Tribolium castaneum: one gene and its partners. The protein of the gene in region 1 purifies or fractionates together with the protein of each later gene. This does not show direct contact. Links are inferred from orthologs where the notes say so. Each region holds a gene or a part of one and is shown in the gene's direction. Other genes may lie near its edges.

What was found.
Region 2: the proteins of U6 snRNA-associated Sm-like protein LSm6 (region 1) and LSm1 purify together in Homo sapiens (co-immunoprecipitation; 3 studies listed by BioGRID and IntAct, counting the BioPlex papers as one, with this or other methods). This does not show direct contact. The link is inferred for Tribolium castaneum from reciprocal best matches to the Homo sapiens genes LSM6 and LSM1.
Region 3: the proteins of U6 snRNA-associated Sm-like protein LSm6 (region 1) and Rnp4F purify together in Homo sapiens (affinity purification with mass spectrometry; 4 studies listed by BioGRID and IntAct, counting the BioPlex papers as one, with this or other methods). This does not show direct contact. The link is inferred for Tribolium castaneum from reciprocal best matches to the Homo sapiens genes LSM6 and SART3.

The regions. Positions count from the first base shown.
Region 1 is NC_087398.1:10,391,143-10,393,522, forward strand, and holds U6 snRNA-associated Sm-like protein LSm6, read left to right. Parts: upstream 1-1,396; 5' UTR 1,397-1,444; coding exon 1,445-1,535; intron 1,536-1,588; coding exon 1,589-1,737; 3' UTR 1,738-1,761; downstream 1,762-2,380. Other genes in the region: inosine triphosphate pyrophosphatase, read right to left, coding at 761-1,333; uncharacterized protein LOC100142353, read right to left, coding at 1,762-2,321, 2,363-2,380. UniProt on the Homo sapiens protein: Plays a role in pre-mRNA splicing as component of the U4/U6-U5 tri-snRNP complex that is involved in spliceosome assembly, and as component of the precatalytic spliceosome (spliceosome B complex).
Region 2 is NC_087400.1:5,966,462-5,969,288, forward strand, and holds LSm1 (U6 snRNA-associated Sm-like protein LSm1), read left to right. Parts: upstream 1-1,569; 5' UTR 1,570-1,651; coding exon 1,652-1,703; intron 1,704-1,748; coding exon 1,749-1,933; intron 1,934-1,975; coding exon 1,976-2,149; 3' UTR 2,150-2,241; downstream 2,242-2,827. Other genes in the region: adenomatous polyposis coli homolog, read left to right, coding at 164-425, 477-716, 763-1,357; rho GTPase-activating protein 19, read right to left, coding at 2,266-2,643, 2,746-2,827. UniProt on the Homo sapiens protein: Plays a role in the degradation of histone mRNAs, the only eukaryotic mRNAs that are not polyadenylated. Probably also part of an LSm subunits-containing complex involved in the general process of mRNA degradation.
Region 3 is NC_087396.1:21,413,643-21,417,857, forward strand, and holds Rnp4F (squamous cell carcinoma antigen recognized by T-cells 3), read left to right. Parts: upstream 1-1,366; 5' UTR 1,367-1,571; coding exon 1,572-1,655; intron 1,656-1,707; coding exon 1,708-1,975; intron 1,976-2,030; coding exon 2,031-3,955; 3' UTR 3,956-3,971; downstream 3,972-4,215. Other genes in the region: amon (neuroendocrine convertase 2), read left to right, coding at 1-347, 516-677. UniProt on the Homo sapiens protein: U6 snRNP-binding protein that functions as a recycling factor of the splicing machinery. Promotes the initial reassembly of U4 and U6 snRNPs following their ejection from the spliceosome during its maturation.

The DNA.
Region 1 (2,380 bases):
AGTAAAAATAATAAATGCACAGTAAAAATAATAAATGCACAGTAAAAATAATAATTGCACACTAAAAATAATAAATGCACAGTAAAAATAATAATTGCACACTAAAAATAATAAATGCACAGTAAAATAATAAATGCACAGTAAAAATAATAAATGCACAGTAAAAATAATAACTGCACAGTAAAAATAATAAATGCACACTAAAAATAATAAATGGACTGTAAAAATAATAATTGCACAGTAAAAATAATAAATGCACAGTAAATAATAGCATCTCAAAACTAGAGTGTGTAGAATTTCACATTTCCAATTTTACGTTTTTGAGTTTAATCGTTCGAGGAGTATTTTTCCTTTTAGTTTGCTGGGGCGAAGCCCTAGACTGCAAGCTAGCTACTGAGCGTTTATTATTTAAACTGTGCAAACTGAAACTAGATCCTGTGCATATACGATTTTTTTATTGGGCAAATTTTAAAAAAATACTGTGCGTGGTTTACTTGTCATTTAAATTTTTTACTGTGCAAAAATGAATTAAATACTGATGATTTATTATTTTTTACTGATTAAAATCGAATTTTTTACTGATCGCTTTATTACTATCCTTTCAATAATGGCATTTGAGTACTAAAAAGTACTACCCCCCGGACTGTTTTGTTATAAACCTGCCGGAGAAATAAGAAAAGCGTAACAAAAAAGCACTCAAATCAAACAAAACAATTTATTTAAGTTGATTAAAGTCAAATAAAACTAAAACGACAAAACATTATTGTTTCTCTTGGTTCATAAAATGATTCCTCAGCGCGTCCAAGGCGCGGTACCGATGAGAGATTTTATTCTTCTCCTCTTTGGGCATCTCGGCGTACGTCTGCGTGTACCCCACTGGCTGGAAACACGGATCCCATCCAAAATCCCTCGGCCCCCTCGGCATCACAATCTCTCCATCCGTGCGCCCCTCGAACAGAATCACTTTGCCCCCTTCATCGCCCGGATGATATGCAAAAGTACAAACGGCCTGGGCACTCTTATCCTCATGCCCAGCCAGTAGTCGAAACAGCCCCTCAGGACCCAACTTATCCAAGAACCACTTAATATAAGGACCGGGCAAACCACCCAATGCGTTGAAACACAGACACGTGTCTTCGACGATACACGGCCCCTTGATGATTTCGTACGCCGCTTGGCATTTTTTCACGCAAATATCGGCGATTTCGCCCTGGAGCTCAGGGAGGTCCACTTTTTGACTCACCACTTTGCGTGGGAATGTCGAGCCGAGGATGGCAACCACCTCTTCGAGCTTTTTGGCGTTGCCGGTGACGAATGTTAGCGGTTTCGACATGGTTTTGCGTGAAAAAAACAGGAAGTGGGGTTATGTACATGCCGATTTGAGGTTAGGTTTTTGTCAGCCGAGGCGGTTAAATAAGCAAATTTGAGCCACAAGCTGATAAGGATGAGTCGCAAAGAAGCCCTTTCGTCTTTTATTCAACAAATTCACGCCAGGCCTGTTGTGGTCAAGTTGAATAGTGGTGTAGATTACAGAGGTGAGGTTATGTTTGTTTTTTGTCAATGAAGGGGGCTATTATTTGGTTTTTAGGTGTTTTGGCTTGTCTCGATGGCTACATGAACATAGCGTTGGAGCAAACCGAGGAATACGTCAACGGACAACTCAAAAATAAATTCGGGGATGCGTTTATTAGGGGCAACAATGTGCTCTACATAAGTACACAAAAACGTAGAATCTAATGTATTTTTTGTAATAAAAACGTTTCAAAACTCAAAGTCGTTCATTAAAGCGCACTGATCGATTCTCGTAGAGCTGTTGTATAGCTCAAATAACTCGTTATTTGTCTCACACTCTTGTTTCTTTTTCTTACTTTTAACGAGACTACAGTTCTGATATTTAAATTCATTCAATGTGTTGTCCGGAGGAGTTGGATAAAATTCACAGATGAAGTCCAATTTAATTTTACAATTGAGTGCCCTCCACGTTTTTTCAACATCTAACATGACACAGTCTTCTTTTCTTCGTCCTGGTCTTGGGTGGCCCACAGCCCAGGCCCGAAACCGCGAACATTGCAAAAAGTCCCCCATTGGAGTCTCAAAACTCCCCTCAACCGTAATGTCGTCAAGGCCAACGTATGCCCCCTTGTACCAGTTAGGCAAAGACTTGAGTAACGCAGCTAGTGCGTTCGTCCTTGCCTCAGTCAAAATATCAGCCAGGTCGCCCCCCAAATCCTGGCACCGACGTGCGGCGCTGGAATAATTCATTTTTTCCTGAACCACTTGAAACAAACCGACTGATCTGAGACAAGTTGCGTTCGCTGTGGCTAAAATTCAATTCACATTAAGCCATCCTTCCAACACTCACCCCCACAGTTAAAGTCGC
Region 2 (2,827 bases), on another chromosome or scaffold:
TTTTGTTTATTGATTTTTATTATTTTTTATTTTTTCTGGTGACCACCACCAAACTAAGGCTTGACAATATTTCTTTTAACAGAATCTCCAAGATTTTTATTCAATGTTGCTAACTCAACCGAATAGTTTGTGTCATAAAAAATATTGTATGTAACTCTGGTAGAAATTCCAACTACGGGAAGTCCGCCGTCTCGCCGTTCGTCTTTTTCTCTGAGTGACGATTCGGACGAAGCAGGGGAGGCTCTGCTCCAGGAATGTATTTTAGCAGGAATGCCCTCGAAAGCGTCAATTTCGGGGGCCCCTGACGTGCCAAAAAACTTACCTAATCCGGACCTGTCACGTAACCAAATCATTGAAAGCGAATCGTCGGACGAAGACGATAAAATTTTATCAGAGTGCATAAACATCGGAATTACAAAAAATCGGTAAAGAAATCAGTAAACCATTCGATTTTTTTTAACTAATTTTCATAACAGTTATACACAACCAAAAATTGTAAACGATACAATTAAGAGTTACTGCACTGAAGACACTCCTGCCATTTTAAGTCACGCCGGTTCTTGCTCTGATCTCAGCGTCCTCTCTATCCAAAACGGGGACGAAAAAGAATACTTTTCCGACCTGAGTAATTTTTCGTCAGAAGAAGACGAAAAGTTATTGGAGGAGTGCGTCAAGTTTGGAATGGCCGTAATTGCCAAAAATAAATCCAACTACGAGTAAGTCACTTTTGTGTTCTTCCATATTCTAGTAATAATTTTTTAGTAAAATGGGCGAAACTTCCGGGTCGAGACAAAAAAGCAAAATTGAAAATTTCTCCTCTAGTGAATCAGATTCGGACGAGTCGGAGCAAGCCCTCCTCCAGCAGTGCATCGAGGCCGGGATGCCCAAGCGCCCCCAGTCCCCCGACTTGACCCCCGCTGAGAAAGCCCTCCTCGAACAGTGTATCCTTGAAGGGATGAAAAAGTGCCGAAACGTCCCGAAAAAACCCTTCGAGGACGACTCCTCGGAACTGACGGAGGCCGAACAAGCCCTCCTACGGCAGTGTATCCTGTCCGGAATGCCCAAAAATAAGAACCTGACTCAAGGGGGCCCCTCGGCCGTGAGGGAATCCCACGAATTGAGCGAGGCCGAAAGGGCACTCTTACAACAGTGTATTTTGGCCGGAATGCCAAAAAACAGGCGGCGGAAAGAACGGGTGGAGAGACAGGAGCACACGTGTTGCGTGCACTGTCCCCGAAAGGGGGCCAGGCGGAAAAAATACAAAGTGAAGGAGAGTCGCGATGTTAACATTGTGTACGTCACGAGTCAAATTGTGGTGAAGAAGGAGGTGGATCGGGGGCACGAGGAGTGGGTTTGAGGGCCAAATGTTGTGTAATTGTGATAAATAAATCAATTTTTTTGCAATCTATGTTTTTTTAATTCAATGGAATGTATAAAATGACCGCTTAAACCGCCACGAAAAGTTGTGTTTTAAACTAAGGAACGTGGGAAAAGCCGTTTAAGTGGTAAATAAGTCGAATTAATTAATTTTCCGCCCATTTTAATGACTTAACACGCGGCGCTCTAGCGGTTGTTACGTCAATGAGTTGCCCCTAACCTCACTTTTTCCAAAACAACCCCCTTTATTTTACATGTTATAAAAGCGTGAAATATGAATAAAACCGAACTGGAAGGCACCGCGCACTTGTTGGACGAGCTCGACAGTAAGTCAAAGGGGCAATAACCCCAAAACTGATCGCTTCTTGTAGAAAAATTAATGGTCCTCTTGCGCGATGGTAGGACCCTAATTGGTTATTTACGAAGTGTTGACCAGTTTGCAAACTTGGTTTTGCACCACACGATCGAACGCATTCATGTGGGTAAAGAATATGGGGATATCCCCCGTGGTGTCTTTATAGTTCGAGGCGAAAACGTAGTCTTACTGGGCGAAATAGTAAGTCAGGTTTGAAGTTGTGATTGTTTAAACTTTGCCAAGGATGCAGAGAAAGAAGCCGAACTGCCGCTGACTGAAGTCTCAGTGGATGAAATACTTGACGCTCAGAGACAAGAACAGGAGTCCAAGCAAGAACAACAGAAATTAGTGTCAAAGGCGCTGAAGGAGCGGGGGCTGCACTTAATGGCCGACTTGACGCACGATGATATGTTTTAACTTTTTAGGTAGAAACACAACGCGAATTATGTCACTATTTATTAAATTTTTCTCATTTGTTATCTTTCTTTAATAAATATATTTACAAAATGGTCCTGCTTTTGTACTACAATTAACTAAAATGAGGTTTCAAATACTATGGGTTGTCCATTTTCATCGAATTGTTTCGGTTTGAGAACAAGTTCCTTCTCACTTCCGGGGTCATTTCCGTCCAAACAACTCAGTAACGAATCAGTCATTTTGCTCGGACTCAAGTCGGAGTTGAAATCATCAGTCCGACTGGAAAAACTCGAATCTGCGGCGGGCGACGAAGTCGTCAACATGCTCCGATTTTCCAAATACTCTCGAAACGTCTGACTCAACGAATTATCCTTCTCCACCTCCTCGGGGACTTCATCCATGGCCTCAACTGTTTCAATCTTCGCCAAGGTGTTGATATTCGTCCCGGAAACAAGCAAGACCGGCTTCCTGCTTCTGGGAGTCATCATAGTTTCCTAAACGAGACACAAAACAAGTCAGAATAGATGGCAGCACTTGTGGTGAGTTCGGGCAAAAGCGACACAAAAGCAAGACAAGCGATTCGACTGCCCCCATACCTGCATGGCTCTGGTCATACGCTGTGTGGATCTGGTTATGGGTGACATGGACTTACGCTCCTGGTCGTCGGGCGTGAAATGC
Region 3 (4,215 bases), on another chromosome or scaffold:
CCAAGCAGTGGAAGACCGTTCCGCCGAGGTTCCATTGCGAGGCCGGGTCCGTCACCCAGGTCCAGAAGATACCCTCGGCGAAGAAGCTGGTCATGCAGATTACGACGACGGCGTGCCAGGGGCAGAGCACCGAGGTGAGGTATCTGGAGCACGTGCAGGCGGTGCTAACGGTGAATGCGAGTCGGAGGGGCGACCTGGAGCTCTTCCTCACGTCGCCGATGGGCACCAGGTCTATGATTCTCAGTCGAAGGCAAAACGACGATGATACGAGAGATGGGTTTACGAAGTGGCCTTTCATGACCACGCATACGTGGGGGGAGTACCCGCAAGGGACGTGGGTGTTGGAGGTGGGTGGTTTTTATTAATTTTTTACATTTATTTTTGAAATGTTTGAACTTGATTACGTGGAAATTGGGGTTGTAGGACACAGGATAAATTAAATTAAATTCGTTACGACGTTTCGATACTTTATTGAATATCTTCAGTCAAATTTATTATTATTATTTTTGTTTCAGGCCAGCTTCAATTCGCAGATGCCGCAAACGGGCTTTGTCAAGGAGTGGACTTTGATGCTGCACGGCACAAAGGAGCCCCCTTATACGGAATTGGCGGTTTTGGACCCACATTCCAAGCTTGCTATAGTGAAGAAGGCGCATGAAAATCGAATGAAGATGTAATTGGTCTCCAGTTTTGGTTTATTTATTTGTTAAAGATTTGATAAAGATTCATATATTTTTAAGTAGAGAGTAGCGATATACTGAAATATTTAAATAAATCCATCAATCTCTAACTGTACTGTAATAAAAGCATGTGATTATATAAGAAGTATAAAATATCAAGTAATTATTGGATTTTATTTTTACAAATTGTTGGACAAGAGCTTATATTTTGTATAGCGTTCATTATTCAAATATATATTAACTGAAAGAGATTATTTATTACAGTGCAAGCGATGAATCTCATGCAATTGTACAAAATTGTAAATTGTTTACAATATAAACTTTATTTCCGATTGTGATTTTGTTTGCTTCTGCTGGCCGACAACTGTAAATAAAACTAGACATTTAACCAATTTTTATTGCTTGTTTTATTTATTTAAGATTGCTTCATAGTTTTACAAATTCAAATCTTCAATTCAAACAGCTCGTATCTTTTTTGAGGCGCATGTGCACACCCAACCAGAAGCATGGCATAGATGGTCTCAAATTTATTCGGAGCAAAGACCAATAAATAAAACTACATTTTTACTAAAAAACTTTTATTCAATTTAATCAACTCACACCACGTTTAAATTAGAGATTTTATGGTCGTAAAGCGCAACCAGCAATACACATCCAGAAAAACAGTTTTACAGTATTTTTGCTAATAAATTTCAACATTGAAACCAGTTTCGGTTTTTCTGAACAAACAAAACTGTTAAATTGTTGTTAATTAGAAGTGTATTCCATTGGTATCGTTTCAAATTAATTTAGTAACTTTGCTGCTCAAAATTAGACTGGTAAATCTTCTGTCACTGTTTGCCAACATCAACATAACCCAACTTTCCTATTTGTCAAAACGTACTTTTTACGATGGAAATAAACGACGATTCCAACGAGCAAATGTCGGTCAACTCGGACTCGGACTCCGACTCCGGGGACGACCAAGAGGAGCAAGTAAGGGCCTCCACAATCCTCCAAAATTTTTCTAACTCTAAGAGTGTCTCAGGCCCTCCTCACTCGTGCTGAAGACCTCGAACGCCAAATCTCCGACAACAAGTACCTCTACAATGCCCACGAAGAGCTCGTCAACTTGTACCGAAAACTGGGGGACTTGAAGTCGATGCGTCTGGCGTACGAACGCTTCCAAGAGTACTTCCCCCTAACCCCCGAGATCTGGCTCGCGTGGATCAACGACGAGAAAAAGTTAGCGAGCTCCGAGAGCGAGATTAAGAATATTTTCGGGCTTTTTGATAAAGCCGTGGAGGATTATTTGTGTAAGTTGGTCAGGTAGCCTGAAATTAGATTGGCAAGCCTGACACGTTTTTTCAGCTGTGAATTTGTGGGTGGAGTACGCGCAGTACTCGATTGGGGTTAGCACCCTTGACACGACACGTGTGATAATCGAGAGGGGTTTAACCGCCGCTGGGTTACACGTGGCCGATGGGAGCCTCCTGTGGGACACTCTCCGGGAGCTGGAATTCGCCCATTTGTCCCTGACGGAGGCAGGGAGCGAGCCATGGAAAACCCAAGTGGAAAAAATCGTGGAGGTTTTCCGGCGCCAACTCTCAGTGCCGCTCCTTGACATGGAAAACACTTACAAGGAGTGGAAAGAGTGGCTAACGCAGGTGCAAGACCACAAAATCAATGCTGAACCGGTGGAGTGGGGCTATAACAAGGCTTTGAAAACCTTAGAGACCTACAAGCCGTTCGAAGAAAAACTACAAGTAACAACGGACGAATCGCAACTATTACGAGTTTATCGCGACTACGTCAAAGTCCTAACGGACCCCTCGACAATTTTGTGTCTTTATGAACGCGCAACGGCCCAGATGTGTCTCAACCCGGAGATTTGGCTCGATTATTGTCTCTACGGCCTGAAACTGGGAGCCCCAGCTGAAAAAATCACAACTAAGGCTTTGAGAAATTGCCCCTGGAGTCAAGAATTGTGGATTATGCGCCTACAAGTCCTTGAAAGTCTCCAGAAGGATAATAGCGAAGTTGTCGCTTGTTTCGAGCAGGCTGTGTCAAATTTAGGCGCCCAATCAAGCGAGCTGTGGCTCGCCTACTTAGAATACGTCTCACGGACGTGCCAAGACCAAGCCAAAGTTTTCAAATCTTTTGACCAAGCCTTAGAACAACTAAAATATAACGACGAAGGCGCCCTCAAAATCACAAAGTGGTATTCGAGAATTTTGGCCAAAAATAACAACATGCAAGGGGCGCGAAACCTCTGGAAAAACCTACTCAAAAGCCCGAACCACAAAATCCTGGCCAACACTTGGCTGGAGTACGCGCGGCTTGAACGCCAGTTCGGGGAACCCCCGCAAGTCCGCGCCATTTTCCAGAAAGCCCTAACCAATTGCACCGACTGGCCCCTGTTTATCGCCGACGAATGGCGTGAGTTCGAACGCGAGTTCGGTAAACTACCCGACGTTCTAAAATGCCTCGAAAAACGCAAAGAAATCGAACCGAAACTAAAAACGATTGAGCCGCCGAAAGCCACCGGAACCAAACGAAAACACCCGAGCGAAGCCGAACCCCCGCCTAAGAAACACAAAAAGCAGGCGGTGGTCAAAGACCCGACTCGCACAATTTTCGTCAGTAATCTACACACTAGTGTGAATGAAAAACGACTGAGGAAATTCTTCCCCAATTGCGAAAATGTCGAAATTGTGGTCGATAAGCGGGGGAAGTCCCGGTGTTATGGGTACGTGCAGTTCGCCCTTGAGGAGAGTGTCATGGCGGCGCTGGCACGTGACCGGGAGCTGCTTGACGGCCGCCCTATTTTTATTTCCAATTGTAAGCCGAATCGTGAGGAGCGGAAAGCCGGCTTTAAGTACTCGAATGAACCCGAGACCAATAAACTTTTCGTTAAGGGACTCCCCTATGACAAGTCGCAGGAGGAAATTGAGGCGATTTTTCGGCCTTTTGGGGCGAAAACCGTGCGTTTGGTGTGTCGGCGAGATGGTAAGCCAAAAGGACTCGCGTATGTTGAGTTTGAGGACGATGCAAGTGCTAAGAAAGCCATGGAAAAGACCGATGGGATGACAGTCGGGGACTTTACCATCAGTGTGGCAATTAGCGCGCCCCCTGTCAAGAAACCAACAACAGTTGCAAAAAGTACACCAACACGGCATGCACGCAGCCGATTACAAGTCCCGATGTTACCGAGGTCCTTGCAAGTCAAGAGTGCGACGAATGGTGATGTCAAACCGAAAACCAATGATGATTTCCGATTGTTACTTCAGAAATAAAAGCGATTCAAACATATTTATTCAACAACTCTCTACCTCTAGATACAAATGAGGTAACCGCCCTCAATATGCTGGCAGTGGTGGGTGATTTCGCACATGTTTCTCCTGTTTGAGTGGCTGAAAATTATCTAAAAAATATATACGATACACAAAATATTGCTTCGTTCTCTCTTATTTACAATACGTGATTTTGTACTTGTGACGTTTGAGCAATTTGCGCGAGAAATATGTGCGAAATGACGGGTATTTACAAATCGTTC